Linked DNA regions of Ovis aries. The protein of the gene in region 3 interacts with the protein of the main gene of each other region in a biochemical or structural test. Links are inferred from orthologs where the notes say so. Each region holds a gene or a part of one and is shown on either strand. Other genes may lie near its edges. The genes, in order: MAP3K1, ELK1 and MAPK8.

Region 1 (11,401 bases), on a different chromosome or scaffold from region 3:
TTAGAACTGTACATAAAACAACAGACTGGTTCCAGATCGGGAAAGGAATACGTCAAGGCTGTATATTGTCATCTTGCTTATTTGACTTATATGCAGAGTACATAATGAGAAACACTGGGCTGGATGAAGCACAAGCTTTCATCAAGACTGCCGGGAGAAATATCAATAACCTCAGATACGCAGATGACACCACCCTAATGACAGAAAACGAAGAACTAAAGAGCCTTTTGATGAAAGTGAAAGAGGAGAGTGAAAAAGTTGACCTAAAGCTCAACATTCAGAAAACTAAGATCATGGCATCTGGTCCCATCATTTCATGGCAGATAGAGGGGGAAACAATGGAAACAGTGAGAGACTTTATTTTATTGGGCTCCATAATCACTGCAGATGGTGACTGCAGCCATGAAATTAAAAGACGCTTACTCCTTGGAAGAAAAGCTATGACCAACCTAGACAACATATTAAAATGCAGAGATATAACTTTGCCAACAAAGGTCCATCTAGTCAAGGCTATGGTTTTCCAGTAGTCATGTATGGATGTGAGAGTTGGATTATGAAGAAATCTGAGCACTGAAGAACTGATGCTTTTGAACTGTGGTGTTAGAGAAGACTCTTGAGAGTCCCTTGGACAGCCAGGAGGTCAAACCAGTCAACCCTAAAGGAAATCAGTCCTGAATATTCCTTGGAAGGACTGATGCTGAAGCTGAAGCTCTAATACTTTGGCCACCTTATGCGAAGAACTGACTCATTGGAAAAGACCCTGATGCTGGGAAAGATTGAAGGCAGGAGGAGAAGGGGATGACAGAGGATGAGATAGTTGGATGGCATCACCAACTCTATAAAGGGGATGACAGAGGATGAGATAGTTGGATGGCATCACCAACTCTATGGACATGAGTTTGAGCAAGCTCAGGGAGTTGGTGATAGGGAAGCCTGGCATGCTGCAGTCCATGGGGTCGCAAAGAGTTGGATACAACTGAGCGACTGAGCTGAACTGAAAATGTGAGGCACAGGCATGAGAAAGTTGAACTAACAGTGGAAAGTTTATATGAGTTTAATGGAGGAGGTGGTGGCTGGGCCCAGGACCTGTGTCCCCATGGAAGGCTTGGAAGCACTGAAGCTCTGGAGTGCTGGGAGGACACACAGAGGGTCCTAGCTGCCTTCCTTAGGCTGGATAATTTTTTTAATATGAAAAAAATACACATTTTAGAACTAAGAATATATAAGTATTACTTATGAAGGTATTAGAAAAAACAGGTTTAAATTTAGAGGTCAATTTAGGAACAAAAATTGTTCCACTGAATAACATTTCAATTACAGACTGAGTCTTATATTAAGTGCAGAACTGTTATATTAAATGCACAACTGTAAAAAGATTAAGTAACATGAGTAATCCTTAAATTTTAGAACTAGGAAGGTCCTCAGAGCTGCCAAAGATGTTGACAAATGATCATTCATTTAGTATTTGTTTTCATACCTATTGTAAGCCAGGCATTATTAGCCATTGGGTATATGGAAACACTGGTCCTCTGCCTTCATGGAGCTTACAGTTTGGGGGGCAGTGCCTACAGCAGTGAACACTTCAGAGAAAAAGTACAGAGCTGTGGAAGAGTGGAACTAGAGATTCCTAATTGAGAGTGGGAAGGGTCTGTAAGGAGTTGAAGAAAAGCCACTGAGTGAGTAGAAATTAATGAGGTAAAAAGGAGACAAGAAACAGCTTGTGCAAAAAACCTGAGCAGGAGAGATGGAGCCAGTCAGTGAAAGAAATCGAGTGTGAGGGGAGAGGGGGTCTGGGTGACTTCAGTTGAGGTAAGACTGGATGATGCAGGGCCTCATAAGCCATAACATTTTGGATTTTTACTCTCAGCCCAGGGGGAAACCATCAGAGGGTTTTAATGGGGGAAGTGACCTTGGCTGCTCTGTGAAGTGAGGTTGGAGTACGTTTCAAAGTGAAGAAGCCCCCTCAGGAGTCTGCTGCTAGTTGAGACCAGCTAAGGTGACAATCTGACCTGAGCATTGTGACTGAAAGTATGTGTTCTTGAGGATAATTTGTATTAACCAAAGTCTTAATTTGTGTACATTTGGACCCAACAATTCCATTTCAGGGCATTTATTCTAAAGGAATAATCTTAGATGTGTGCAAAAGTTGAACTACTGGTATGTTTAAATATTTATATTTAATATCATTAAATATAAATAATACAGGATAGGAATAAGAAATTGGTTTGAAAGATTATAGTATTTTCAAACAAGTGGAAAGGAAAGAGGAAAATCATACCCACTTGAAGGAAACCACGTCATTGAGGAAGATTTGTTTAGTTAAGGAGAGTTCTCTGTGTGTTTGAGTGGGTACTAGGAAAAAGACACTGAAAATACAGAACTGAGAAGAGATACTCATGAAACAAATTTGAGGAGGAGAGATCTAGGACCAGGGGAAAGAGGGCACTTTTCGCGGTTGCAGGAGCTTCTGGCGTAAAAATGCACTGCAGTTCTACAGTGTGACTTCTGTTTTGAGTACTAGCCTGGGAATCTTTAAGCCATACCTTGCAACATTGTTACTGGGTGGAAAGTGCTTTTCATACCAGAGAGTTGTAAGTGAATTTTTAGTGTGCTATCAGCCCTTGAATTTGATTGCCTGTAAATTTGAGTTTCCCTGGGTAAGGATCAACTGAGCAGGATGAATTTTTGAGAAAACATTTTCTCTCTCCCTTTTCCCCTCTCCCCCCTTCTGTCCCTATCCCCTTCTTTTTCCCTTCCTTTTCCTCCCTCCCTTCCTTCCCCTTACATCCCTCCCTCTTCCTCTGACTCACCTCTAACATTTATGATATATTCAGAGCAGGGAAAGCAGTCACATACTTAAAGGAAATCAGTGCCCTCTGTCCCATATTGCCTCTCTTTGTGACAGTTTTTATACCTGAGTAATGGAGATATTTTACTATGTGGTGTGTCTTAATGCCCCTCTGCAAGTTTCAAATGTTATGTATTCTTTGCATTAGTAAAAATATCTAGGCCAGTTTCAGGCACAGAGGTATTTAATACCCTGGTTTCCACTCCCTCCATAGTATTGATGCTTAAGTAAACCAGTTGACTGTTATTTCCTTTCTGGTGCCTGTTTTCAGTAGGTTTGGGGGCTTGGGTGGGGCTGTTACTGCTATTGTTGGGTTTTTTGTTGTTGTTTGCTGCTGCTTTGCAAACACTGCTGCTTTATAGTAATGATTAGCTGGAATATTCCTAGAAGAGTTTGAATTTGACTTTTTGGTAAGCTTGCAGTTATCATCTCTGGTATTTCCTTTTCCTATCAGTGTAATTAAAAAAACAAAAACAAAAAACTGTTCCATAGCTTTACAGAGTTTCCAAAATAGTTACTGAAGTTCACTGAGTATTTTCTAAATTGTTGCTTCTCCCAGGATGCAGTTGCTTTAACTCTTTCCTTATAAAACCAGGTTTTAAAATCCATGCCTATATATATTGTGTGTTTCATATATCCGTGTGTGGATATGAGTGTATTTTGAAGCTAGTGGGTGTTTTACCTATTCGGTTTTGAAAAGTTAGTTCTCAAAAGTTATCAGCTTCCTGGATATTTTATTATAACTCCACAATACATTATCGTGTAAAGGTCAAAATGTTTCTACCAGGTAAATTTTTACTATTTGTATATGGAATACCCCAAGTACAATATCATTTTCTGAGAAAACAAGTTTAATTATTGAGACTTTGAAAAAAATACTGTGGATTAGAAGATGTGGTTAGGTTTCACCTAGATTATTAAATGTTTAACTTATTTCTGCAAATGAGCATATTTTCCAGATTTTACCTATATTGACTTAAGTTATTGGAATTCCTGGGATAAATAGTAATAATTAGCTCTTCTAAATATTTGTCTGTCATATACTTGAGTATGTTAAAATGGTGTAATTGGAAACAGTGCAGCTTTCACGAATGTATTTGTTAATACAGTGCTTAATGTCTTGAGGTGCTTTTTATTAACTACCTAGAAACAAAGGAAGGTCTGCGCTAGTATTACTAGTAAGCCTGCGCCTTCTAAATAGAACCTTACTTTTTAAAGACATTATTACACTAGTGTTATCAGGCAGCATTTAACACTCTCCATGTTACAGTGTAAATTCAACAACATAGTATGATTCATAATGATATTTTCATATCTTGCTTAAGTCATTCGGGGATTTTAGCAGTTATCTTTTTAGTTGCAAGTCCATTGAAAGTATGAAGTAAAACCATATTGTTCTTGAAAATTATTTTTCATATATAAATCTCATTCTCCTTATTTTTCCTTCTGTTTTTAGTCGTGAGATGGAGAATAAAGAAACGCTCAAGGGACTGCACAAGATGGACGATCGCCCAGAAGAACGAATGATCAGGGAGAAACTGAAGGCCACCTGTATGCCAGCCTGGAAGCATGAATGGCTGGAACGGAGGAACAGGAGAGGCCCCGTGGTGAGTTACCTGCTGGAAGGAAGCAAGCATAGGAGGAAGTGGGAAATTAAGCATAAATAGATCCTCTTGTAAGCTTTTTTTTTCCCCCTTCATTTTAAATGCTGGGCAGTTTTATTTGCTTTGACATTTTCTAGACACTTGAACAAAATGTAGCTAACGCTGTGCTCATTAAGCAACTTACACTGTTCTAAGGAGTAATCCCTCTGGTTGAGTGGGAGAGGTAATGCTTAAAGCAACACTGCCCTCTAATGTCTGTGTCTCGAAAATCCTTTAATTAGTGATTTATACTGTACTTAGAAAAGCGATTTTTCCAGTTTTATTTTGATGTTTTATCTCTAAGGTAGGATCTAAGGATCTTAATTCTAAATCTCTTAAAATTCATGTATGACAACATTTTAAAATGCCTTATGTAAATATCAACATTCAATTGATGAAGCGTAAATGACTGAAATGTGTGGTTAAAAATAGCCTTACACTTACAGCTTAAACTAATAAAGAAAAGTTGATATATTTTCCATTGTATTTGTATAATATTGCATAATTTTAAAAACTGAGTTCTTGTCTTGATCTTATGTTCATGTTTACTTCTTGTTTTATTTTTTAAGTAATAAAATACTGGCATTTTAATTTAGGTGGTAAAGCCAATCCCTATTAAAGGAGATGGATCTGAAATTAATAACTTGGCAGCCGAGTCTCAAGGAGAGGGCCCAACGAGCACTGCTTCCTCAGCTCCCAAAGGCCGACGCAGCCCTTCCCCTGGCAGCTCCCCCTCAGGTCGCACAGTAAAATCTGAATCTCCAGGAGTAAGGAGAAAAAGAGTTTCTCCGGTGCCTGTAAGTAAATGTGCTAAGTTTTCTACAATTTTAAAACTTACTTAGGACACAGGAAAGATTGGCTAACCATCTGTTAGATCAACATTCCCAAAGTGTGCCCGCAGACCCTGGGCTCAGGGTGCCTGCCCTCAGATGCTTCCTGTGGATCCATTAGGGCAAAACTGATCTTGTAGGAACCCTGAGATGTTATCTGCCTGTTGCACTGCATTGAGGTTTACAGTGGTGAGTAAAGCTGCTGGTGCATGTGCCTGAATTAAAGGTATGACAGTGGAAGCTGTATTCCTCACTTGGGTATTTGACAGACATTTTCCTTACAAAGAATTAAGTAAGACTCACTTCAAGGAAAACAGCTGATCTGTTTCTTCACTAGTGGTAAAATTTGAGATTTCAAGCAATAATTAGAGTTTTGGAAAACTCATATCCACTGCTGTCAGTTTGATAGCTTCACAGTACTTAGACTTTTAATGAGCCAATGGTATTATCACTTGTGGGTTTTTTTGTGTGTATTGTGCCATGAAATACATGAACTTTTAGAAGATCTGCCATTCCTTTGATGTAGTATCAAAGACGAATATTCGTTATTATTTGAAAAGGATTTCCCAAATACATGTCTACGTGAGGCCAGATTCTCTTCATGTATTCAACCAAAATACAGACTGAACGCAGACTGTATCACAGCAGACTGAACGCAGAAGCATGGATGAGAACCTCAGTATTGAGATTCAGTACTCTGATTCAGTCTCTGTATTGAGCCAGACATCAAAGAGACTTGTAAAAAGTTAGGTCCTGACCCTCCAAGACAGAGAGATTACCACTGGCAGGAATGCGAGTTAAAACTTTCTAACCTTGAAAAGCAAATGAGTGATGGCAAAATAATTGTGGTATAGTGACCAGAAGGGGGAGATTTGGGTTTCCTCACACCTGAGGTTGTTAAAGCACATAAATACTTCAGAAAGTAAATTTTAAGTAAATTTTACAGTAAAGCCCAAGATTCTCAACAGTATTTATCAGCTTTATGTGGACACATGTTTAAATTAGCTATTTTTTAAAAAACTTGACATGGGAACAATCATTTTAGCTCATAAATCTGAAATAGGCAGGGCTCAGCAAGAGTGGCTCATGTCTGCTTCCCGTGGCATCTGCAGACGCTAGAACATCCAGGGCTGCTTCTTCACTCCCCTGTCTGGTGCTTCATTCAGCTGGAGCAGCTGGGGGCTGTTGGCCTCTCTTTCTCAGAGCACAGAAATCAGGCTGTAGCAAGTGTTTCAAGCTAGGAAAGCAGGTGGAGTAGATTCTCACAGCCCTCAGAAGGAACCAGCCCTGTCAGCACCTTGATCGTTGATTGTGGACTTCAAGCCTCTGGAACTATGAGATGATACATTTCTGTTAAGCCAAAAAACAAAGGTGATTCAAGAGAGCAAATCCCAGCATGGAAGCTCTTATCAAGCCACCACTTGGATTATATTTACTGATGCCTTATTGCCCAAATCTAGTTACATGCTCAAATCCCAGAATCAGTGTGGTAGGGGACTACAGAAGGGTGTATAAGTATACTGGGAGGTGTGGTCCATGGGGTCATCAAAATGAAAGTCCACCGCAAATAAAGAATTGTGTCTCCCGTCCCCCTACACCCTCTTTGGGATATATATTAGACAAGGTGACTTCCTCATTTTAACGGCTACCTAGCGTTTCATTATCTGGATAAAGATCATTCATGGCTTCTTTGAACTACACACTAACGGACATTTATGTTCCTTCTCAACTTTTCATTACTGAAAACAGTCTTGCAAAAATATTTTTTATGCATACATCATTCTGCACATCTAGTGAACATATCCATAGTGTGAATACTTAGCAAGTCCAATGGTATATGCATGTGTACTTGTTTTGGGTTTTGTTTTACTTTTTAGTAATTGCCTATTTAAAAAACAATGGTTTTATTAAGATATAGTTCATATAGCGTACAGTTCACCCATTTAGTTGTACAGTACATTGAGTTTTGGTATATACATAGTTGTAGCCATCACTACAAGTTTTAAAATATTTTCATCCCTCCAGCAGAAAACCCCAGACTAGCAGTCTCTCCCCAGCCTTAGGCAACCACTGATCTACTTCCTGACTATATACAGTTTGCCTGGACCTTTTACATAAATGTAATCATATAATATGTATAGTCTTCTGTGGCTGGGTTTTGCTCCCAGCATCATGCTTTCAGGGCTCATCCATGGTATAGCTTGTATCAGTATTCCATTCATTTTTAATTGTAGAATAGTATTCTCTTGTATGGATATACATATTTTGTTTATTTACTCATTAGTTGGTGGGCATTTGATTTCCACTTCTGGCTTCACAGTGCTGCTGGTAACAGCTCTGTACACATTTTCACGTGGACATAGCTTCATTTTTCTTGGGTATATACATAGGAGTGGGATTGCTTTACAAAGGTTTACAAAGTGAGATTGTTTTGCAAAGCAGGTACACCATTTTACATTCCCACCAGCCCTGTTGGAGGCGCCCAACCGCTTCATTTTCTTACCAGCTTTTATTACCTTTTACCTGTTTAGTTTGGCATCAAAAAGAGCCAGACTTTGTGCTGGGCAGTGATGGAAAGACCAAGTTCTAGGGGAATCAGGGAAGTGGAGTGAGTGGCACACATCACCCTCACCACAGGAGCGTTTTCAGCAGCCTCCAGTGAGATGTCGTAACCTGGGAAGAGTCATTTACCCCTCCTTCTCCACAGAGAATTCCATGGAACTGTTTGTAAATGACCGGTCACAGGAAGCACATTTAGTAATCCCTGAAGTGGAAGCCAGGAAATTGGATGCTTCATTTTCATCCCTAGAAACAAGTCATTTTACCTGTTTAGGAAGCACATTTTCTATGCTTTTTATTTTGGTTTACATACAACTTTTCAAAGATGTCAGATACTTATAATTTGTAAAATTACCATACGTTTGTCTCTCCTAGCCAAAGATTTATTATTTTAAGGATGACAGATTTTAAAAATTTACTCTGGCAATATGTCAGACAAATGCATTTGCAAAACACATTTTGTCCCATCATATTATATATTGAGGCATTTTTTGGTGAATATAAAAAAGGTCTGGTGTGACCTTTTTTAGGTCATTTTTTTTCTTATGGAGGAGTAAATTTCTTAGGAGCAATTTACCTAATTTTTAAAATATTGTGAAGTTTCAGAGTGGGAGAATCACACCACCTCGAAGAGCCCCTTCACCAGATGGCTTCTCACCATACAGCCCCGAGGAAACAAACCGCCGTGTAAACAAAGTGATGCGGGCCAGGCTGTACTTACTACAGCAAATAGGACCCAACTCCTTCCTGATTGGAGGAGACAGCCCAGACAACAAATACCGGGTGTTTATCGGGCCTCAGGTAGGAACTGTCACCATTTTACATTTTATTAGGATCTGGAACTAACTCAGTATACTGTGACATTCTTAAATTAGCATGTAATTCTCTTCTGTAATCTAAAGAGAGTTAAACTATTGGGGGAACTGTAAACACTTTATTTAATGTGTTTATAAAGGGCTTTACTATGATTTGATATACTTCAGAATACAAATTTGGTCTTTTTATGGCTTATTTAGGGCTGTGCCGGGTCTTTGTTGCTGCTTGGGCTTTTTCCTAGCTGTGGCGAGCAGGGGCTGCTCACTGTGGTTCCTCTTGTTGCAGAGCGTGGGCTCTAGGGTGTGTGGGCCTCAGGAGCTGTGGCTCCTGGGCCCGGCAGCTGTGGCCCCTGGGCCCAGCAGCTGTGGCCCCTGGGCCCAGCAGCTGTGGCCCCTGGGCCCGGCAGCTGTGGCCCCGTGGGCCCGGCAGCTGTGGCTCCTTGGCTCCTGGGCCCGGCAGCTGTGGCCCCTGGGCCCGGCAGCCGTGGCCCCTGGGTCCGGCAGCCGTGGCCCCGTGGGCCCGGCAGCTGTGGCCCCTTGGCCCGTGGGCCTGGCAGCTGTGGCCCCTGGGCCCGGCAGCCGTGGCCCCTGGGTCCGGCAGCTGTGGCTCCTTGGCTCCTGGGCCCGGCAGCTGTGGCCCCTGGGCCCGGCAGCTGTGGCTCCTGGGCCCGGCAGCTGTGGCCCTGTGGGCCTGGCAGCTGTGGCTCCTTGGCTCCTGGGCCCGGCAGCTGTGGCCCCGTGGGCCTGGGAGCTGTGGCTCCTTGGCTCCTGGGCCCGGCAGCTGTGGCCCCGTGGGCCCGGGAGCTGTGGCTCCTTGGCTCCTGGGCCCGGCAGCTGTGTCTCCTTGGCTCCTGGGCCCGGCAGCTGTGGCTCGTGGGCTCTAGAACACAGTCTCAGTAGTTGTGGTGCGTAGGCTTAGTTGCTCCGAGGGATATGGGACCTTCTTGGACCAGAGATCTAACCCCTGTCTTCTGCACTGGTGGGTTGATTCTTTACCACTGAGCCACCAGACCAGCCAGCCTGGTCTTTTTAATAAACCAAAAATAAGAGATTAATTCATGGAGATAGCTGTAGAATTTTCTTGCATATCCTTATATATCTTATTATATAAAGATAATGAGAAATTAATAGAAAGTTTAGTATAATAAACTTGGAAATATTTTTAAAGGGATCAACCTAGGAGTTCTAGTGGAACACGGATTTATTAAAGTAGAGGTTTTTTGTGTTTTTTTTTTTTAACTCTTTAGAACTGCAGCTGTGGGCGTGGAACATTTTGTATTCATCTGCTATTTGTTATGCTCCGGGTATTTCAGCTAGAACCTTCAGACCCAATGTTATGGAGAAAAACTTTAAAGAATTTTGAGGTAATTTTTTTAAATAAATGCTCTGGAGTAAAATTGTCAACTAATTTTTATGATACTCCTGAAATTTTTCCATAAGCTTTAAATTTAAGTTAGACAGTGGTCATTTCAGAGATGTGAATGTATTTAAGGATTACTTGATGTCTGTAAATAGTTCTCTTATAAGCTATTGACTAATTAGTTTTTTTCTTCTAGAGTAAAAAAATAAACACTGACCTATAAAAATACTGTTCTTAGTAAACTATATGTATTCTTATTTTTGAAGCTCTTAAATTGTCTTTGTGAAAAACTTATGAAATAAAAGCCAAATAATTCAACCTATAGAACTCATTTTCTGTACATTATGGCACAAATGTCATGTTGCTGTCTTTTTTCAATGTTAGGTTGAGAGTTTGTTCCAGAAATATCACAGTAGGCGTAGCTCAAGGATCAAAGCTCCGTCTCGTAACACCATCCAGAAATTTGTTTCACGCATGTCAAATTCTCATACACTGTCGTCATCTAGCACGTCTACATCCAGTTCAGAAAACAGGTCAGTACTTTTTAAGGAATTAACAGCATTAATCCAGTGTTACTCTTTAATTTTAGGGGTTATTTATTTATTTATATATATATGTATATACACACACACACACTTGTTAAGTTGCTCTAAAATGACTTAACTATTGAATCTTGGATTTCAAGTTAAAAATCACGGGAAAAAAATATTAAAAGTCATCAAAGTATATTTGGATATTTTGTCTTGAAGCCTACAGTGTTGAAAATGGCACCTGAAATATCAGAATGTAATAAATGTCCACTTCATAAGAAAAATTAAGGTAGAAAGTAAGTGGCTACTGTTCATCAATTATGACTTCGTGCCACGCACCTTTTATGTTGTTTTATTAGGTAGGTTTTTACCACTTCGGGAGATAACGAACTTGAGGCATTGTGTAAAGAATATGTCTGTAATTCTTTTATAAATTATGTACAAGGCAAAGTGGTTATCCAAAATTACTTTCAAATATAGGATTTTTAAATTTCATGATATCACTGCTTCTCTCATAGACAGTCCTCAGGGAATCCTCATCACAGCCTGTTTTACATGTGAGAACATAAGTAGGCTCTTCTGAACAAAGAGACTAATCATTTGTAATTAAGAGATATAATACCCATTAATCATAGTTATTAATTAAAATCTATGTTGCTTCTCAGACTTTTCCATTGCCTGATTGCTGATAAGACTAAACTCATAATCCTGAAAGATCTGAGTTGTAAACCAGTATGACAGGTGTGGAAAAAATTAAGAGTATTATCATAAAAAGTCATGCCAGTTTTCTTTCTTTTCCAAGATTTCTTTATTGGT
Region 2 (11,401 bases), on a different chromosome or scaffold from region 3:
AAGTCCTTTACATATCAGTTCAGTTCAGTTGCTCAGTCGTGTCCGACTCTTAGTGACCCCATGAACTGCAGCACGCCAGGCCTCCCTGTCCATCACCAACTTCAAAGAGTTTACCCAAACTCATGTCCACTGAGTCAGTGATGCTATCCAACCATCTCATCCTCTGTCATCCCCTTCCCCCCCTGCCCTCAATCTTTCCCAGCATCAGGGTTTTTTCAAATGAGTCAGCTCTTCCCATCAGGTGGCCAGAGTATTGGAGTTTCAGCTTCAACATCAGTCCTTCCAGTGAACACTCAGGACTGATCTCCTTTAGGATGGACTGGTTGGATCTCCTTGCAGTCAAGGGACTCTGAAGAGTCTTCTCCAACACCACAGTTCAAAAGCATCAATTCTTCGGCACTCAGCTTTATTTATAGTCCAACTCTCACATCCATACATGACTACTGGAAAAACCATAGCCTTGACTAGATGGACCTTTGGTGATAAAATAATGTCTCTGCTTTTTAATAATGCTGTCTAGGTTGGTCATAACTTTCTTTCCAGGCAAGAATACTGGAGTGGGTTGCCTTGTGAATTAATAAAACAAATAACTTCTCTGACCTTACCTTTAATTTCATGGCTGCAATCACCATCTGCAGTGATTTTAGAGCCCCCCAAAATAAAGTCAGCCACTGTTTCCACTGTTTCCCCATCTATTTCCCATGAAGTGATGGGACCGGATGCCATGAGCTTAGTTTTCTGAATGTTGAGCTTTAAGCCAGCTTTTTCACTCTCCTCTTTCACTTTCATCAAGAACTCTTTAGTTCTTCTTCACTTTCTGTCATAAGGGTGGTGTCATCTGCATATCTAAGGTTATTGATGTACTCTGCATATAAGTTAAATAAGCAGGGTGACAGTATACAGCCTTGGCGTACTCCTTTCCTTATTTGGAACCAGCCTGTTCCATGTCCAGTTCTAACTGTTGCTTCCTGACCTGCATACAGGTTTCTCAAGAGGCAGGTCAGAGGTCTGGTATTACCATCTCTTTCAGAATTTTCCCTAGTTTATTGTGAGCCACACAGTCGAAGGCTTTGGCATAGTCAATAAAGCAGAAATAGATGTTTTTCTGGAACTCTCTTGCTTTTTCGATAATCCAGCGGATGTTGGCATATACTGACATTTAATCCTCCCAGAAACCTTTCAGAGTAGGTGTATCTTGAAGATACTTAACTTTGAGAGTGGCATATCCCCCATTTTATAGGTACAGGAACAGACCCAGAGAGGTTGAGTAACTTGCTCATGGTCACAGAGCTAGAACAGGATAGAGGAGTATGAGGCTGGCAAGCCAGAGAGAAGAAAGATCTGCTGGGGTAGACAGGTTATTCATCACACAGAGGAAGAATTAATTCTGCCTGGGAGATCTCAGAACTTAATGATGTGTGTAATAAAGGGTTCATCGTATGTTGAAAAGAGGGAAGGACACTCCTGGCAGGGAGAACAGCACATGCATATCCTTAGAGATGGGAACTGGATGAACTCAGGGTGCCCACGATGTAACATGCCAAGCTTCAGTCCACCTCAGAGCCTTTGTACATTCTGTTCCCTGTGCTTGAAAGACCCTTCCCACAGATGTCAGCATGGCTTGCTACCTCCCCTCCTTCAGATTTCTACTCAGATGTCACTTCCTCAGGGAAGCCCTCCCTGAACACCCTGTGTAAAATAGCATTCCTGTCCCCCTCAAGGATCTTACCCTTCAGTTTTGCTCTATAGAGAGCAGGTGGAACAAAGTGGCTAGGATCACTGCCTAGAGCCAAACTGCCAGAGTTTGATCCCTGTCTCTTTGTGATCTTAGGCAAGTTGTATTACTTCTCTGTGCCTCCATTTCCTCACCTGGAACATGGGAGGGTAATAAGAGTGACCACCCATGATGTTGGTTTGAGGATTGAATGAGTCAAATGACTAAAATGGTAAGGGCTATGTGGCTGGTTCCTGTTTTTTAAATTGGTAATATTATTCCTGGCATACATGTAGGTGTCTCACAGGCCTCTGAGACTGACCATTTCTAAATCTGACCCCATGTTCTCCCTTCAAAACATGCTCTCCCGCAGGGCCCCTATCGCAGGTGATCAGGCCACAAACCTAGAGTCACCTCTCACCCCACACCACCCCTAGTGCTATCTGTCAACAAATTCCATTCGTTCTGTCTTCAGGTTTTATCCAGAACTCAGCCGCTTCTCACCAGTTCCACTGCTAACACCACCATCTCTTACGTGGACTATTGCAGTAGCCTCTTCAGCCCCTACAGCTGGTTCTCCTCACAACAGCCTGAGGGTCTGTTAAAATCCAAGTCCCAGCCTGTCACTTCTCTGCTCACAGCCATCTCATGGCTCCTATCTTATTCAGTCAAGTCAAAGCCCTTCCTGGCCTAAAAGAGCCTCACACAGTCTGGCCTCCATTGCCCCTCTGCTCTCAGGTCCTAGTGCTGATACTTTCCCTTCACTGTTTTCTCTCTGACCGTGCCAGATTTCTTTGCCTTCCTCTGACCTGCCAGGCTCTCCAGCCTCAGGGTCCTTCACCAGAGCTATTTTCTCTGCCTGGATGACTGCTTTCCAGGTTGTCACAAAACTGACACCTTCACCTCTCTTAGGTCTTTGCTCAAATATCACCTCCACAGTGAATACCTTTTCAGAAAGTAACTTCTCCCTGCTTCTTTGTTTTTTTCCAGACCTCTTATCACCGTCTGAAGAATTCTTGTTTATCTTGCTTCTTGTCTGTCTTCCCCACTAAAATGGGAGTTATGCCAGAGCAGGGATTTTTGTTGTATCCACTGCTGTCTCCCCAGCACCTGGCCCACAGCAAGCCCTCTATAAATGCTTGCTAAATGAATGAAATAAAGAGAAGTAAATGCATCTGAGAGAGGCATATGACTAGAACTCTTGTTAGGGATTATGTGGGAGATGTGATAATAAACAAAATACAAAACCTCGTGTGCTGCTGAGGCTTGAAGCCAACTGTCAGGTTTCACCTTAAGTGATAGATTCTGTGGCTGCTGAAAGGGGAACTGGTAAAATTGCCTGTTGTCACCACCAGGAGTCACAGTGGACTCTCTGCCTCTGAAACAAACAGGCCTTCCAAATAAACCAAGCAAGGTTTCTGATGACGGGACTGTAATCTGGATACTTTGTGGCCTTATGACTTACATAATTGCCTGAAACTGTGTCTGCCAAATGAACTTCGAAACAGCTCAGACATAAGAGGATCAGACTGTATTTCATTACAGATTAAAGACTCAAGCTATAAATTATAGAAAGATGTTCTTTCTTAACCCAGCAGTCCCAGCTGGGTGATTGATAAAAACTCTTTCCTTAAGGAATAGGAAGTTCATGTTTATTTCCAACTCACACTCAGCAAAACGAGCAGTTAATAGGTTGGGGGGGAAGAAGGCCAGGGAAGGTCCTATTCTGTGCATGACATGCTGAGGGAATAGTCAGTATGAGAGGCAGTTTAGTCTAATGGTTAAAAAGCTCAGACAACTGGAACTTGGCTGGCTGGGTCCAAATCTTGACTCTGCCACTTAGAGCTGCGTGGTATGTAAATGTCATTTAGACATTTTGTGCCTCAGCTTCCTCCTTTATAAATTAGAGATAATAAGAGTACCTATTTTCCAACGTTGTGATGAGAGAGAAATGAGTCAATAGCTGTAAAAATAGCAATCGAGGTCTACATGCCCTTATCTAAAACCCTTGGGGCCAGATGTGTTTCACAATTTTGAATTTTTCAGATTTTAGAAAAGTAACAAGGTACACATACGAGATGTTACGTAATACTCTTAGTGGGCTCTGTAATCAGCTACATTCAGATTTCTGCAGCAAGATGTATGAACAATCACACCAAGTGAAGATCCATAAAGACCACAAAAGGCCTTACTTTGTTTCAAATCAGGTTTTAGAGTAGCAGAAAAGGAGTAAGGAACAAATTAGAAATGGATATTCTGTATAGCAGATAAAGAATTAGGAACAAATTAGAAATGGTAAGAGCTTATCATACCCCAGGCATAGTATATTTACTGTACAATAACCCTGTGAGCTAGGTGGTATTATCATCTATTTTAGAGATGGAAAAAATGAGGCCCAAAGAGGTTAAAGAACACACCCAGGGTCACACTGCTAATAAGTAGCAGAATGAGGATTCCAGCCCTGGCAGTCTGGCTCTGGAGCCCGGGTCATCGTCCAATAGGCCATATTGCCTCTAATTGGTACAATGCCTGGCACATATTTAGCACTCAGTAGATGTTCATTACTGCTGTTGTCAAGAAGGAGAATCAGAAGGAAAGGAACAGGTCAGAGGAGCATGGGGTAGACAGACAGAAGAGAGCAGACATTTCAGTGTCAGGAATTTTCATAAAGTCAAGGCTCCTTGGGGCTGAGACTTGAACAAAGGAGAAGACTTGAAAGCAGAGGAAGGGAACCCAGCATGGAGTAAACAGCCTTTATGAGGTGCTGACAGAGGGAACCTCCTGGGAAACTTGGTATTTGATGTGGTAGAAGGTGCAAATGAAAATATTCAGGTGAGGGGCATTGCTCTGGTTTTCTATTCATGCTGTAACAAATTATCACAAACTTTTAACTCCTTTCAGTTCAGTTCAGTCACTCAGTTGTGTCCGACTCTTTGCAACTGCATAGACTGCAGCACACCAGGCCTCCCTATCCATCACCAACTCCCGGAGTTTACTCAAACTCATGTCCATTGATTGAGTCGGTGATGCCATCCAACCATCTCATCCTCTGTCATCCCCTTCTCCCACCTTCAATCTTTCCCAGCATCAGGGTCTTTTCAAATAAGTCAGTCTTCCCATCAGGTGGCCAAAGAATTGGAGTTTCAGCTTCAGCATCAGTCCTTCCAATGAATATTCAGGACTTATTCCTTTAGGATGGACTGATCTCCTTGCTGTCCAGGGGACTCTCAAGAGTCTTCTCCAATACCACAGTTCAAAAGCATCAATTCTTTGGCGCTCAGCTTTCTTTATAGTCCAACTCTTATCCACACATGACTACTGGAAAAACCATAGCTTTGACTAGATGGGCCTTTGTTGGCAAAGTAATGTCTCTGCTTTTTAATATGCTGTCTAGGTTGGTCATAACTTTTCTTCCAAGGAGGAAGCATTTTTTAATTTCATGGCTGCAGTTACCATCTTCAGTGACTTCAAAATAAAGTCTGTCACTGTTTCCACTGTTTCCCCATCTGTTTGCCATGAAGTGATGGGACCAGATGCCATGATCTTCATTTTCTGAGTGTTGAGTTTTAAGACAGCTTTTTCACTCTCCTCTTTCACTTTCATCAAAAGGCTCTTTAGTTCTTCTTCACTTTCTGCCATAAGGGTGGTGTCATCTGCATATCTGAGGTTATTGATATTTCTCTCAGCAGTCTTGATTCCAGCTTGTGTTTAACTGCTTAAAACAATACAAATTATTCTCTTAAGAGTTCTGGAGGTCAGAAGGTCAGCACAGGTCTCACCAGGCTAAAATCCAGGTGTTAGCAGGGCTACTTTCCTTTCTGGAAGCTTCATGTGATGAGATTGAGCTCACCCAAACATCTCTCTAGCTTAAGGTCCATAACCTTAAATCCATCTGCAAAGTTCCTTTTGCCATGTAACATATTCACAGTTTCCAGAAATTAGAACGTGGACATATTTGGGTAGGGGACATTATTCTGCCTAGCACAGTCTGCCCTTTGGCCCCCAGAGGTTCACATTTGTCCCACAGGCAGAACACATTCACACTGTCGTATCATTTCCAAAATTCTCATCCCACCCTTCCATAATCCAAAGCCAGGCTGAGGGTACTCAGGGAATGATGGTGGTAGCTGAGGACAGAGGTGGAGGCAAGGTGGAAAGAAAGGAATCTTTCTCCTACTGACCTCTTCCCCTTTATATACTCACAGCCTCTTAGTTCTGAGCTGTCTGCCCTCCAGGTATCCCTGGGATGGCGTGAGTACTTCCCCAGCGATGGACCCTTCTGTGACGCTGTGGCAGTTTCTGCTGCAGCTGCTAAGAGAGCAAGGCAATGGCCACATCATCTCCTGGACCTCACGGGATGGCGGTGAGTTCAAGCTGGTGGACGCTGAGGAGGTGGCCCGGCTGTGGGGGCTGCGCAAGAATAAGACCAACATGAACTATGACAAGCTCAGCCGGGCTTTGCGGTACTATTATGACAAGGTAAGGTGTCTGAGACCAGGGCTGGGACCCCACTCCCCCGCCCCCCACACCAGCAAACATTTATACCAGTTATTTCATTTTCTTGTCTTAATTTGATCTAGCTCTAGTTTTGAAAACAGTATTAAAATTTACCATTTTTTACCCCATCCTCTGGTACTTTCAGACCAATGTTGGGGCCCCCAAGCATTTATTCCAGTTATTTTATTTTCTTGTATTTTAACTTTGGCTAAAACCTTCAAAGCAACATTAATACTGACCCCCTACTCACTCCATTCTTTCTGAGATCCCCAGAGTCCTTCTGTCCCAACCACACCCCACACAACATTTCATTTTCTTGCCTTATTCCTTATTCCTCTGACCAAAACTTTTGAAAACACTATTAATAATGAGTCTTCCTCATCCTGGAACAGTCCTGGGTTCCCCCAGGTATTTCATGGTCTGCTCTTATCCCAGAATAAGAATTCTAGAATAGCCTTATTCTTAGAATCAAAGTCTCCATGATAGCATTATCCTAACCTTTGCTTATCTCATCCTCCAAGGCCCTCAACATTTTTATCAATTCTTTTCATATTTGATTTCGTTAGCTAAGACCTCCAAAACAACGTGTATAATGCCCGCTCCACACCCCATCCTCTTGTATTCCCAGAGCAACACCAGTCCTCTCCAATATTTATATCAGTTGTTTTATTTTATCATCTTATTCCTGTAGCTAAAATTATAAATTTTGCTTATCTTTTCCTCTCAGACTGCCAAACCAGTGCTAGATATCCCCCCTCACATTTATACCAGTTATTTCATTTTCTTATTTCTTTACCTGAAACTTCCAAAACAATGTTTTTCTTCTTCCAGTTTTACTGCAGTATGATTGACACACATTACTGTATAAGTTTAAGGTGTACAGCATAAAGAGTTGACTTGTATACATCAAGAAATAATTATCACAATAAGTTAAATAAACATCCACCAGCTCATACAGATACAAAATAAAAAGGAAAAAAATTCTTTACACTCTTAACTTTCATATATAACATACAGCAGTGTGAATCATTTATCATGTTGTACATTATATCCCTAGTACTTACTTTTCTTATAACTGGAAGTTTGTGCCTTTTGACTGCCTTCATCCAATTCCCTTTCCTCTCACCCCACACTGAAACTTCTCAGACAATATTAATGAGTCTCCCTTTTCATTCCTTTTCTGAGAAACACAAACCCACCCTGTGACATTCGTGGCCAACATGAAGATGTCTTCAGGGTGCCCTAATGCCCCCCAGATGCCTCTTGTCCCTCAGAACAGCCCTAGACCGGTGCTGTTGCCCACCGTTAACTCGCTTACAGCATTTATTTCATTTTTTAAAATATATTTATATTTTTTATATTTTTATATTTTAATCCTTTAGCTCAAACCTCCAGAACACTATTCATAATGAGTCTGCCTCACTCTATGCACTGAAACCACTAGAACATCCCTGAGATCCTCCAGGGCTATCCTGAAATACCCCAAACGTGCTCTGTGACCCACCCAAGCCAGCCTTAAGATTCCCACAGTATTTTTACCAGTATTTTAAATTCTTGTTAGTTGCTATCAGTCACTTCATTTTCCAATTGTTTCAGCTTAAACCTCTCCAGTGGTATTAAGAATAAGGCTCCTCATCCTCTCCACCCTGATGACTTTGCCCTGTTTCACAGCTGTGTCAAGAGCTTTAAATCATCCTCTAATAATTCATATTTATTAACAATTCATCACCATATTCTTCCATATTCATTTAGTCTCTTCCAACATTTATATCAGTGACTTCATTTCCCTGTCTTACTGCATTAGCTAGACTCCAAAACTGTGTCCTGGCAGCCACCCCCAGGGCCCGGCCCTGTTAGCCCACAGACACCCCTGGTTCCAGGAGCCAAGAGGAAAGCCTGTTCCTAGATCTGCTTCCCTAGTTGGGTCCCAGTGTGGAGAGGAGCCAGTGGGTGTGGCCATGTGTATCTAAGGTAGGGTGGGGGAACCTAACAGAAGATGAGAGTATGACAGAGGGAGACTTGGACGGGGATGGATGGGACTGAGGTGTGGCAGGGAGAAGGGCAGTAGACTAAAGGAAAGATTATGCAGTGGGGAGACAGAGAAGGGGAAGAAGCTGGAGGAGAAGACAGGGAAATCGGGTTGGGGAAGAGTAGTAGAAAGTAGGGGAGAAGGGAGGAGGCCTCAGATGAAGAGGTGAGTGAGATGTGAAAGAAGCTGGGAAGAGGACCCTATGGGGACACAGACACTGAGCAAGGACAGTGTATATGTAAAAGGACAGGAGAGGCATGAAGGGAAAAAAACACCAGGAGACACTCCTCACCGTCCACTCTCTCTAGCCCTTTCTTCTAAGACACTCTATCCTGTCTCTTCCCCCTTACCAGAATATCATCCGCAAAGTGAGCGGCCAGAAGTTTGTCTACAAGTTTGTGTCCTACCCTGAGGTCGCAGGGTGCTCCACTGAGGACTGCCCGCCTCAGCCTGAGGTGTCTGTCACCTCCACTCTGGCAAATGCAGGCGCCACAGCTGTACACGCCATCCCCGGGGACACTGCCTCTGGGAAGCCAGGCACACTCAAGGGTGCAGGAATGGCAGGCCCAGGTGGCTTGGCGCGCAGCAGCCGAAATGATTACATGCGCTCAGGCCTCTATTCCACCTTCACCATCCAGTCCCTGCAGCCACAACCGCCCTCTCACCCTCGACCTTCCACAGTGCTCCCCAACACCGGCCCTGCAGGAGTAGCAGTGCCTCCCTCGGGGAGCAGGAGCACCAGTCCAAACCCCTTGGAGGCCTGCCTGGAAGCTGAGGAGGCTGGCCTGCCTCTGCAGGTAAGGACTGGAATATGGAATTTCAGCAAGAGGAGGGATGTACAGTTCCCAAATGAAGAGAGGGACTGGGAAGAGGAGGGACATAATGTCCTGTTAAAGATGATATAATGGAAGGAGAGACACAGAAGTCCCCTTGGAGAAAGAGATGGGGAGGAAAACTATTCAAAACCCTGGGAAGGAAGAAGGAAATTGAGTGCACTACAATTAGCAGTACACCCAATATGTAGTAGGTGCCCTTGAATGTATTTGCTTAATGCACTGGCTCTCACACTTTTAGCACTCATCAGAAAGCACTTAGAGGGCTTTTAAAGACAGACGTGCTGAGGGACACCCCGAGAGTTTTTCTTTATGTGAGTCTGAGGATGGGCCCAAGAGTCTACATTTTTAACAAATTTCCAGATGAGGTGTATGCTGCTGGTCCATAAAGCAAATTTTTGAGAACCACTGCTTTTATACATGGGGGCAGTATTTCCTGGAGTCCCACCCCTGAAGGCAACCCAGATAAGAGGACCAGAAGCCCCATTTTCTTGGCAAAGTACCACATCTTGTTAAAGGACCTGCCCCTATTCTCAGGTCCCACTTTCCATGGGAAATAACTGGCTTCACTACCCCAGGAATCCTTAGGCATCCCTTCTGCACTCGTTCCTCTCCCAGGTCATCCTGACCCCACCCGAGGCCCCAAACCTTAAATCCGAAGAGCCAAACATGGAGCCTGGGTTGGGCCGGCCACTGCCCCCAGAAGTCAAAGTGGAAGAGCCCAAGGAAGAGTTAGAAGCTGCAGCCAGTGGGGAGGCGGGGTTTGTGCTGGAAGCCGTCAAGGCCGAGCCCTTTGAGCCCAAAGTCGACCCAGAAGTCCCTCCAGCAGAGGGCGTGCCAGCCCGGCTGTCCGCTGTCGTAATGGAAACTGCGGCGCAGGTGGGCGGCCTCACGGCTTCTACAACACCCAGCGCGGAGATTGCCCAGCCTCAGAAGGGCCGGAAGCCCCGGGACCTGGAGCTTCCACTCAGCCCGAGCCTGCTGGGTGGACCAGGACCCGAACGGACTCCGGGATCGGGAACTGGTTCAGGTCTACAGGCGCCAGGTCCAGCGCTGACGCCTTCCCTGCTACCTACGCACACATTGGTGAGCACTTTTGAAGGGGCGGGGCTGGCACCTGGAACAAATGGGATTGGGGCGGGGTGGCGCGGGGTGGGGGAGGGAGACTTACCGCGAAGGCCAATGCGATTACCTCGGAAAGAGTGAGAGGGTGGAGCCTTCGAGTGGGATTGGCTGCGTGGAGGGACAGGCGTGATTGCTACTGGATGGAGGAGTCTGCAATGCCAAGGATCAGGTGTCCAAAGAAGGGCGGTTCTGGGGAGTTTTGTGGGCAGGGACCAAGAGGCTTTCTGCAGGAACTGTTTCTGGGTTGAGGCATGGCTTGAGGAACCTGAGTGGGGTTTTTGGGGTCTGAGATTTTCTCAGCGGGTTTCCTGTGAGGTTATGCAGGTCTGCGGAGAAGGCACTGGCACCCCACTCCAGCACTCTTGCCTGAAAAATCCCATGGACGGAGGAGCCTGGAAGGCTGCAGTCCATGGGGTTGCTGAGGGTCGGACACGACTGAATGACTTCACTTTCACTTTTCACTTTCATGCATTGGAGAAGGAAATGGCAACCCACTCCAGTATTCTTGCCTGGAGAATCCCAGGGACGGGGGAGCCTGGTAGGCTGCCGTCTATGGGGTCGCACAGAGTCGGACACGACTGAAGTGACTTAGCAGTAGCAGCATGCAGGTCAGGGATAAGAGTTGGAAGTTGATCCTGAGCTACTGGGATTGTGAGGTTTGAAAACAGCGGGTGGGCTCTTGGAGGTGGTCTTGCCTGGGGTGGGCCCTCTGGAGTTAGAGTTGTCTGTGTGAAGTCAGAGCTGTCACAGACATGGCCTCAGTAGTTATGGTCTAGGCCTGTGCACTTTTGAGGAGTGATCTTGGAAGTATGAGTGGGAAATCAGGTGGGGCCAGAACCAAGTTCCTTTGGTTTTCCCACAGCTGCCCTCTTGCTCACTTGTGCTCTGACCATCCCTTCCCCACAGACCCCGGTGCTGCTGACGCCCAGCTCGCTGCCCCCCAGCATTCACTTCTGGAGCACCCTGAGTCCCATTGCACCCCGTAGCCCGGCCAAGCTCTCCTTCCAGGTAGGATCAGCTCCCCGATCTCAGAAAGTGTGAGTGACCCTAGCACGGTCCCCATCCATGACCTCTCCCTATTTCTGTCCTCAGTTTCCGTCCAGTGGCAGCGCGCAGGTGCACATCCCTTCCATCAGCGTGGATGGCCTCTCAACCCCCGTGGTGCTCTCCCCAGGGCCCCAGAAGCCATGACTATCACCACCA
Region 3 (10,429 bases):
TTTTTAGACCTCTCATGCCCAGCTTCCAACACAGGGTCTCAGACAGATTTGCACACACAGATGGAGTTAAATGAAATATGTTACCAAGCACGGAAGCAGAGAGAGAGACAACAGGATATGGTGAATGAATTATGTCAGACAGAAGTCTAACTTCACAGAACATATTTGAAGTTATCTTTTAGTTTCAAATGAAGTCCAAAGACGTACTGCTATAAAAGCTAAGAAAAAAAAAACCTCAATCCACAAAATCACTACAGATCAATTTTCAATGACAGAGTCAATGGATCTTTTAAGGAGCAGTACTAAAATAAATGTAACGCCGCAATTAACAAGAACCACTTCATTTTATCTGGTGTCACTAGGGCGTTACGATCGAGTGGAGATTAACTCGGCACTCAGCACGGTCGTCCGCTCTTGCCGTCCAGTCTATCACCGGCGGTCTCGCCAATGACTGTGATGAGACGGAGAGCGTCAGGCTGGCAACCGCATCAGCTGATGGAGCAGTAGTGGTCAGGTGGATACTTGGGCCTTGCCTGTCCTTTCCTCAGAACCAGGCGAGCATGAGTTCAGGTGAGGAGGGGTGTGAGCTTGTGGATATGACGGTTATCTGGAGCAAGAGTCGAGCAAGATAGATGAGAGTCAACAGACTGGACATATGCAATCAGTGAGCCTGCTAGCCTGCCTAGTACAGGCAAAGAGAACACCTGCATGGCAAAGCTGGAAATGCACTGAGCTGAAATCCCTGGGTGGCTTTGAAACAGATCCTTTTAAAATACTTCTTGCCAAGTGGTCTGCGGTCCATGTGACTGCTATCTCACATGGCTACTAGAACTAGGTTAAGGGCATTGAAGCAAATTCCTTTCTTAAGATAATGTTTCTCTAGCAAGTTCAAACACCAGAAAACCAGGGTGACAGTTTAGCCTTTTCACAATTTATATAAAATCCAAATCTAAGAGACTTGCCCTAGTATCCCTTTAATCCCAAATCCATAGGAAATCTGATACCTGCTCAGAAAAACTTTTTACCAAAAATTTGTATTTTGTTTTCAATGAAAAACTCTTAATTTCATAATTTTCATATCACTTTTTTCTTTTTTATTTAAAATATTATAACCAATTAACATACTAAGATAACATTGTTTACATTCCAGTGGTGCATGTTTAATGACTAGGGCATGAAGGATTAAAAACCACAATAATTATCTCAGCATTCCCTACAAAGCGCCCCATTCTGTTTTGTCTAGAGGAGGGGAGAGGAGAGGGATTGGAACACAGGGAAGGGAGCGGAATGAAAAGGAATGGCATCATACAGGGAGAAAAGCAAATGTCGATTATCATACTTAGGTTTCAGGTTTCAGAACCTGTTGAACAGGATAAACTATGAGAAAATAGATGTCACAGTCCAGGTAGACAGCTAGTTCAGTTTTAACTTCATCATTCGGCTAAAAGATTAAGAGCTTCTCAAAAATATACCAAATATCGGGCCTACAAAAGTAATTTATTTCTTCGTAAAATTTACTAAGATTTATTCCTTTTGTAAAATGTAAAGAATGGACTGATATCACGAGCAGGTTTCTACTTACAAAAAGAGACAGTAATAACGTCCAACGAGCACATCTAACACAATTTTCTAAGATACATAGTGAAAGATTTTACAGGTGAGTCTCTCTTACTGATGCAAGGTATATATTTTACATACTTACTGGTATAGTGTTGACACTGGCTATAAAGTACTTAACACACATAATTCACACTCAGTGAAGATCTAACAGTAAGGGCAACTGCTTACTTGGGAAAGCATAGAAAATTAGTGTGAGGTAGTTCAATAAAAACCTAGTTTAATTTGTAAGTTACTGTGAGAATAGAACATTGTGCAAAACTAACCCACAGGTAATATTTCTCAGAAGTTCCAGTAATGAAGAGAATCTAAATCGGAAATGGCCAGAAAGTGTTACTCTTACTAGACTCTCCTTAAGAGCACTTAACTAAGAGCAAGTTAGTTTGAAACTAATTAGGACGTTTTTTTCCTTACCAGTTTTTTAATCATACCCCAAACTATACATTTCTGCTTCAATGCCCTTTACCCCTTCATCTTTCATGCTATTCAGGAAAAATTAGTTTCCTCTGATTCAGGAAAAACCTAAGAGAGATCAGTAGAAACACAAGTATACTAAAATGTAACGGGTCCAGAGGCAACACTTAAGGGCTGCTAATGACAGGACAGTGGTGTCTGGTTTTCCTACTGGCAAGTTTCCTGGGGTCACGGGGCGTCATGCATTCACTCTACAGCTAGTGTGTGACTAATGAACAACACTCACAAACAAACTATAACAGTATTCTTGAAAATAGACTATGCTTTTACCTCAACATGTTGTACAGGCTTATGTCTAGGCAACAGTGAGTAGTTACATCCTCACAGTGTAGCACATACTGGCCGATAGTGTCTACCAAGTCTTATCTGTAACCCCAAATGGCTTCATTCGCCTGCTGCTGATTGCACTATCAGATATCCACATCCTCTTCACCTTCACCTTTTTAGACAACACAACAGGATCAGCATGGAAAAAAATAACAAAAGGGCTTATGGGAAAGTCTGCTGTTTTACATGCAATCAAGCTTCTTGCTATTGTTAAGGGGGTTGTGTGACAGCCTTCTCACTTAAGAGGCTGGCATTTCTCTTAGGAAGTCTGGTGTGAATACACTGTGCCTTTACCAACATAGGGCATGCATACTGGGAACAATCAGCGGCTGAGGGTGTATAACAAAATGAGAACTGTAGCAAACAGTACGAAAGCGCTGAGATGCTCTATTTTTGCCTGTTATAATTAAGCAATCCCAACAATACAATCATTTAACAAATGGTCAGTTTATATTAGAGGGTCACAGAGTCGTAACCAGGAAGAAATACACAGAAAGAATTACTTTCCTAACCTATAACGCTGAATAATAAATCTTGGTCTAAATAATTTTCTGACAGTAAGACCATGGGTATATTAAGTATATAAAGTTGAAAATCCAAAGTTATAAGATAAGCAAGGTGGTTTTACGTAAATACTGCTTGACAGAAATCTTATTTCCACTTATTTAAAAGGTGTTTAAGATGTTTTAAAGTTTCAAAAACTTCTAAAACTAAAAAGAACTAGCCCATCTTTAGCTTATTTGACACAGTTAGAGAAGAGGGAAAGTTGTATTGAGATACTGCATTTTAAAAACCCAGGGCACACAACACTTACAGACTTTGTTTTTAGGATGTATCTTAAGTCTACATGACTATTAAGAGTTTTGTTTTCTCTCAATCAACTGAAACATGCTGGGTGGCAAGTGGAGCTGGCATTTACAACAAATGATACTGTTAAAACACCTGGTTTTCCTTGCTTAACCAACACCTGCGCCAAGAGATGGCTCATCAGCAAGGAAGCAGAAAATGAAGGGAATCTTCTGGGAGCATGTCAGTTGTTAAAGTGCAACAGTGAAATAATCTATTCTATAGAAATAAAGCTAGGTAACTGTCAAGCTAATAAAACCTCAGCACATTCGTGCTCAAATTCTCCTGAAACTGCAAATCCAATCCTGTTTCTACAATTCAAGAGGTGTCATAGTCTCAAAACTTTATTTTGCCTAATAAAATTAATGCACCCTGTCATATGAGTAGAAAAGGAATAAAAAGACTGCCACTTCGAAAGAGGCTGGAAATCATGGCTTAAACAATCAAAAACAATCTTACTATTTTAAAACATATAAAATGGCTGTTAATGTATTTTGATCCTATATATTGCACATTAACAATGACCTAAAATACCTTATTCAAAAGGAATTTTGCACTGAATACATGAATACCGTGCCAAGTGGACGTTCATATGCCACACATTGAATCGCACCAGTTCCTACTCCTGCTGGTCATTAATTCCATTGGGCATTCTGCCTAGAACTTTTTGCTTATTTAAGTATGCATTTCCCAGTTCATTACAAGAAATCCCTCTTGTTCCAAAAATAATAAAAAGTGCCTGGGGCATTACAGACAACATATTTCAGAGATAATGAGACTTCAATGACATTTTACTTAAGAAAAATTCTGTTATAGAGAAATAATTTTGCAGATATAAAATGTAAACAATTAACATACAACTGTCAGGAGCAGCACCATTCTTACACTATTCAACATCCACATCGTGTGTTTTATTGAAAATTAGGTATTAAAAAAAATGAAAGACTCAGACTAAATAACTACCACTTATGCCTGCTCTGCTCAATATGAAGAAACAGTCCTTAGAAAATGATATCCTATATATGGCTGTGTGCTACTATTTTCAGATGAACGGTATATTGCTCATTTTATACATCACCTACAGAAATCTAAGTAGGCTTTGGAACCTCCCAACAGCTAGTATAAATATGATTACGCCACAGGTAGAATCAAATGGCCAGAAACACCCTGAGAACTGGTGCTCAACTGACTGACACTCTAACAGGAGACTGAATAGGTCCAAGGGCCCGAGGCTGTAGGAAAGAGAAAGACCAGACTCTAGATCATTGCTAGGACCTACAGCCTGAGTAGATTAACTCAGTGTATACAAAAACAGGCTCACAGCTAGTACAGGTGAACCATCTGTTTATTTGCGTTGAAATGTATTATTCATGAAGTATCCTCTTGACTTTATGTGATCATAAGCTTTGAGCATGCCACAAATTTGCAGGAAACACCATATTCTCTTACTGTACTGTTGGTGGGTGGGATACGGGGATAGGAAGATGGTGGTAGATGCCCAACACTTTCAAAGACATGCTCTGAGTTATTCTGCCATTCAGATGATGGGGCTTTTGCCAAAATTCACATAGGATTACCTATCAGTTGTATGTAACTAAATTAGAATTGGCAAGTAGCAAATATTGGAGGTTTTTTTTTTTTTAAAAAAACACGTTCATCATTTACAGTAGTTATTCCTGAATATAACTGGCTACAGGTTATTTTCCCTCACTCCTCTGGGGTTATTTCATTGATAAGCACATAACCCTAAAGGATAGCATCATGAACAAAACATTTGAAATAAATTCTAATAAAAAAAACTATAAAATCTTAAATAATTCATGATATAGGCAAGTCACCACATAATAGTTGCTTTGATAAACAAAATCTTACAAATTCAGTAAAAAAAAAAAATCAGCAGCATAAGATAAAGCAAATATGCAAAAATTTTAAACCATGATAAAATAATTAGGTTTACATTATACAGTTAATTACAGCAAAAATACACAGTTCTGTTGCTGTTTTAAAACACAACTTAAATTTTAAATTACATCACTTGAAATTAAAAAAAATAAACTACTTTACTACAAAATGAATTCTACATTTTTGAAAAATCACTCAAAAATAAGACCACTGAATTGTTTTCAAAGTAGTTCTATCAATGACTAAACAACTCCCCATCCCTCCCACCCCCCGAGGCCCAAGTAGTCATCTACAGCAGCCCAGAGGCCCAGCCGACGCTTCTAGACTGCTGTCTGTATCCGAGGCCAAGGTCGGATCTGTTGACATTGAGGACACATCATTGGCAGACGACGATGATGACGGACGCTGAGAGCCACTGGTCACTGCTGCACCTGTGCTGAGGAACAGAACAGCGAATCAGTTGCAGACAGAGTTGCAGATGGAGCTACCAGTACTGCGCTGACTGCCTCCAGTGGCCAATCATTTTTCTTTTGGTTTTAAAAGGCTCACTAAAAATAACCACAAGTGACACACAGCACAACACTAACTTACAAACAGTTCACTGCAAGCTGCGGGGCGAGAATTCGGAAAATGTCTGGAAACCTGGAGCCCCTGCCCTTTCTACTAATTTTTCAATTTCAGACAAGAATTATTCGAGACAAGAATTCTCAACTCCAAGCAATATTTAGAAACAGTCCTATAGCGAGATTCATGAACTCGCTTCAGACTGCGTGCGAATAATACTGATAATACATGCAAAACTGTCTGTATTGCATTTTGCTGTAGAGAGGATCTCAAGGGATGTATGACTCAAACAGTTAAAAAAAACTACAGCCCTAATAAATGTAAACTGGTGCAGCTTCTATGGAAAAAGAGTATGACGGTTCCTCAAAAATTAAAAAGAAAACTGCCATTCAGTTCAGTTGCTCAGTCATATCCGACTCTTTGTGACCCCACGGACTGTAACACGCCAGGCTTCCCTGTCCATCACCAACTCCCGGAGTTTACTCAAACTCATGTCCACTGAGTTGGTGATGCCATTCAACCATCTCATCCTCTGTCGTCCCCTTCTCCTCCCACCTTCAATCTTTCCCAGCATCAAGGTCTTTTCCAATGAGTCAGTTCTTCACATCAGGTGGCCAAAGTATTGGGAGTTTCAGCTTCAGCATCAGTTCTTCCAATGAATATTCAGGACTGATTTCCTTTAAGATGGACTGGTTGGGTCTCCTTGCAGTCCAAGGGACTCTCAAGAGTCTTCTCCAACACCACAGTTCAAAAGCATCAATTCTTTGGTGCTCAGCTTTCTTATAGTCCTACTCTCACATCCATACATGACTACTGGAAAAACCATAGCTTTGACTAGTCAGACCTTCGTTGCCAAAGTAATGTGTTTGTTTTTTAATTAGCTGTCTAGGTTGGCCATAACTTTTCTTCCAAGGAGCAACTGTCTTTTAATTTCATGTCTGCAGTCACCATCTGCAGTGATTTTGGAGCCCAAGAAAAAAAGTCTGTCACTGTTTCCCCATCTATTTGTCATGAAGTGATGGGACCGGATGCCACGATCTTACTTTTCTGAATGTTGAGTTTTAACTTAACTTTTTCACTCTCCTCTTTCAATTTTCATCAAGAGGCTCTTTAGTTCTTCTTCACTTTCTGCTTAAGGGTGGTGTCATCTGCATATCTGAGGTTATTGATATTTCTCCCGGCAATCTTGATTCCAGCTTGTGCTTCTTCCAGTCCAGCGTTTCTCATGATGTACTCCGCATATAAGTTAAATAAGCAGGGTGACAATATACAGCCTTGACGTCCTCCTTTTCCTATCTGGAACTAGTCTGTTGTTCCATGTCCAGTTCTAACTGTTGTTTCCTGACCTGCATACAGATTTCTCAGGAGGCAGGTCAGGTGGTCTAGTATTCCCATCTCTTTCAGAATTTTCCAGTTTGTTGTGGTCCACACAGTCAAAGGCTTTGGCATAGTCATAAAGCAGAAGTAGATGTTTTTCTGGAACTCTCTTGCTTTCTTGATGATCCAACGAATATTGGCCATTTGATCTCTGATTCCTCTGCCTTTTTAAAATCCAACAGTTCACATACTGTTGAAGTCTGGCTTGAAGAATTTTGAGCGTGACTTTGCTGGCGTGTGAGATAAGCGCAACTGTGCGGCAGTTTGAGCATTCTTTGGCATTGCCTTTCTCTGGGATAGGAATGAAAACTGACCTTTTCCAGTCCTGTGGCCACCACTAAGTTTTCCAAATTTGCTGGCATATTGAGTGCAGCACTTTCACAGCATCATCTTTTAGGATTTGAAATAGCTCAACTGGAATTCCATCACCTCCACTAGCTTTGTTCGTAGTGATGCTTCCTAAGGCCCACTAGACTTAGCATTCCAGGATGTCTGGCTCTAGGTAAGTGATCACACCATCATGATTATCTGGATCATGAAGATCTTTTTTTGTACAGTTCTTCTGTGTATTCTTGCCACCTCTTCTTAATATCTTCTGCTTCTGTTAGGTCCATACCCTTTCTGTCCTTTATTGTGCCCATCTTTGCATGAAAAGTTTTGAGGTTCCTCAAAAAACTAAAAAGAAAACTGCCATATGATCCATCAATCCCACTCCTAGGCATATATCCAGACAAAACTATAATCTGAAAAGACAGCATTCACTGCAGCACTATTCACAACAGCCAAGACACAGAAGCAGCCTGTATGTCCAATAACAGATCAATGGATAAAGACATGGCGCGCACGCACACACACACACACAGACAGACACACACATGCGTGCACACGCACACACACAAAGACACACAGACACACACACACCCCTTGGAATACTACTCAGCCATAAAAAATAACAAAATAAAGTGATCTGCAGCAATATGGATGGCCTAGAAATTATCATTCTAAGTCAGAAAAACAACTACCATATGATACCATTTATATGTGGACTCTAAAATATGACAAATGAATTTATCTATGAAACAGAAAAAGACTCACAAGGAGAACAGGCTGGTAGTTGGCCAAAATAAGGGGGGTGAGGGTGGCTGGACAGGGAGTGTGAGATGAGCAAGGGCAAACTACTGTATATACGGATAACTGAAGCACTTTGCTATATTCCAGAAACACAACATTGTAAATCAATTATACTTCAATAAAATAAATGTTTTTAATAAAACACCTGCCCTAATAAAAAATGCTTCATGACATCTTCTCACTGTAAAGTACAAACCATCCTTCTGATACATCCTGTTTTAAAGCAAAAGCCAGGACAAAGATTAAAATCATTTTAATTCGAAGGATCCTTGGTCCAGCTGCTCCATCTGGTTACATGACTTGCCAGAGCCACACAAGTGCTCCAGATAGGGAAACTCAGGTCTTGCTATTTCTGTTCTAGTAAGTACTTGATAAATGTACACATGGACTTCATAAAGAGATAAAAGTAGGGGAGACTCTTTTCCTTTACCAAAAGTATAGCCTAACAAGCATTTCCTGGATTTTAAAAAGTAAGAGGAATACTTAACCTACAGAAACATTCTCACAGTGCAACTGGGTCAGGAAGAAGAAATGACATTATGGGGTGGGGAATATGACCCGTGACTCATGCAATGGACAAGAGCTTTTGAACTACATGATCACTAAATAGGAATCATTCCAAATATGAGTATATTAAATAATGCAAGTTATACAGAAGTTCTTAAGAATACATTTATGGAATAAAAAGCAACAGTTTTCAAACTGAGTAATAAAAATTTCTAGGGGTGAGTTTCAGGAACCCAGTGATGTTAAAACCTAGCGAGTTGAAAACCACTGCTCCAGAACCCAGTACCTCAGTGTTTGAAATTATCCCTCCTTTCTGTCCAATGACAAGAAATAAAACATTAAAGTATGAGCGGTCCTCTGAGAGCTTGTCTTCAAGTCCAGCAATGAACTAACTAGAGGCCTTGGAACAGGCAAATCTCTAGGGCGCTGGGGCAGGGGCTGGGAGACAGAGGAGAATGAAACCTCAAGGGACGGAGCGGGCAATGGGAGGCGCACTGGGAAAGGAGGTGCATGGGATGCCTCAGGCCGGCAGGAGAGAGGAGAAGGAGGGGTGAGACCTCAGATTCCAGACCCAGGAGCCTATCGGGCTCCCAGTCACAGCGAGATGATGATACCAAACTTTTAAAAGTTCAATTCTGAGTATCACTTAGAGTCTTTCATCTACAGATTAAAATCACTTCAGAAAAAAAAAAGTTCAATTCGTACACTATAGGATGCACCTTTTCTGACCAAAGAGTATACAATCCCATGGATAGCTTCAAAGACCTGTACTGAAACAGTCAAATCATAAAAGTGTTTTATCACATATACTTTCTCATGCCTCTATTTTTTATCCAAATTTTATTTTATCCAAATTTCTTAATCTAATAAAAATTAAAATTTAAATGCATCATAAATTAAACTTTTTAATCTGAAAATCAAATACCTAAGGGAAAAAAACTTGTTTATTTCTGACCTTTCAAGCAATATAGTAAATTTTCAGTAAATTCTCTGAATGGCAATAATATGGAAAAATCTTTAATTTATCTGTATTTGAAAGTCTTCAATTTCTGGATCTGATATCTTTAATTTCAGGTATCTACCATTTCCCTCTCTGTTACTGTCTACATACTCAAAGGCATGCAAACTCATTTTAATATTACCTAAACCAAAATAAAGACAAGATGAAATCCAGGGGGCTAAATTATATATTTACTTTTTAAAATCAAGACAAAATGGTGTTATGAATTCCTGATATTTTGAGTAAGTCAATTGTTTCTTCTGTTTTTGCATATAATCAAGAACTGAATATTTTTACAGCATTAATTTACTAACGCTCTTTGCAAGCTGTAACTGAGAATCTAGAAAATGTCTAGAAACTTGTAGTCCTGTCCTTTCACTTACTTAGTCACTAAATTAAAGGTTGTCTAGGATTCAAAATTTTTACTTATAAATTAAGAATACAACTGCTGTATCTATCTCATGAGGTGATTAAGTTTACTCAAACATTTGACACGATGTGCCACTGACTAGGATATTATGCTAAAGTATAAAACTCTCCTAAATAATGGATTTTTCAAATCCGATTTGAGCCTCCATCATGAACAATTCACTTATATGACTACTGCATATCAATTGCAAAGCCAATTAATTAACTCAGTTATTAAAGCATTTATAATAGACCCTTTGTTACAACTAATTGTAG

The links.
Region 1: of the proteins of MAPK8 (region 3) and MAP3K1, one has a biochemical effect on the other in vitro, tested with the Homo sapiens proteins (3 studies listed by BioGRID, with this or other methods). The link is inferred for Ovis aries from reciprocal best matches to the Homo sapiens genes MAPK8 and MAP3K1.
Region 2: of the proteins of MAPK8 (region 3) and ELK1, one has a biochemical effect on the other in vitro, tested with the Homo sapiens proteins (3 studies listed by BioGRID). The link is inferred for Ovis aries from reciprocal best matches to the Homo sapiens genes MAPK8 and ELK1.

The regions. Positions count from the first base shown.
Region 1 is NC_056069.1:22,546,576-22,557,976, reverse strand, and holds part of MAP3K1 (mitogen-activated protein kinase kinase kinase 1), read left to right. Parts: intron 1-4,304; coding exon 4,305-4,455; intron 4,456-5,087; coding exon 5,088-5,288; intron 5,289-8,480; coding exon 8,481-8,681; intron 8,682-9,942; coding exon 9,943-10,059; intron 10,060-10,439; coding exon 10,440-10,588; intron 10,589-11,401. UniProt on the Homo sapiens protein: Component of a protein kinase signal transduction cascade. Activates the ERK and JNK kinase pathways by phosphorylation of MAP2K1 and MAP2K4. May phosphorylate the MAPK8/JNK1 kinase.
Region 2 is NC_056080.1:57,181,212-57,192,612, forward strand, and holds part of ELK1 (ETS domain-containing protein Elk-1), read left to right. Parts: intron 1-5,949; 5' UTR 5,950-5,983; coding exon 5,984-6,193; intron 6,194-8,593; coding exon 8,594-9,037; intron 9,038-9,691; coding exon 9,692-10,159; intron 10,160-11,104; coding exon 11,105-11,206; intron 11,207-11,290; coding exon 11,291-11,389; 3' UTR 11,390-11,401. UniProt on the Homo sapiens protein: Transcription factor that binds to purine-rich DNA sequences. Forms a ternary complex with SRF and the ETS and SRF motifs of the serum response element (SRE) on the promoter region of immediate early genes such as FOS and IER2.
Region 3 is NC_056078.1:41,788,131-41,798,559, reverse strand, and holds the end of MAPK8 (mitogen-activated protein kinase 8), read right to left. Parts: intron 5,603-10,429; coding exon of another isoform or gene 5,598-5,602; coding exon 5,452-5,597; 3' UTR 1,072-5,451; downstream 1-1,071. UniProt on the Homo sapiens protein: Serine/threonine-protein kinase involved in various processes such as cell proliferation, differentiation, migration, transformation and programmed cell death.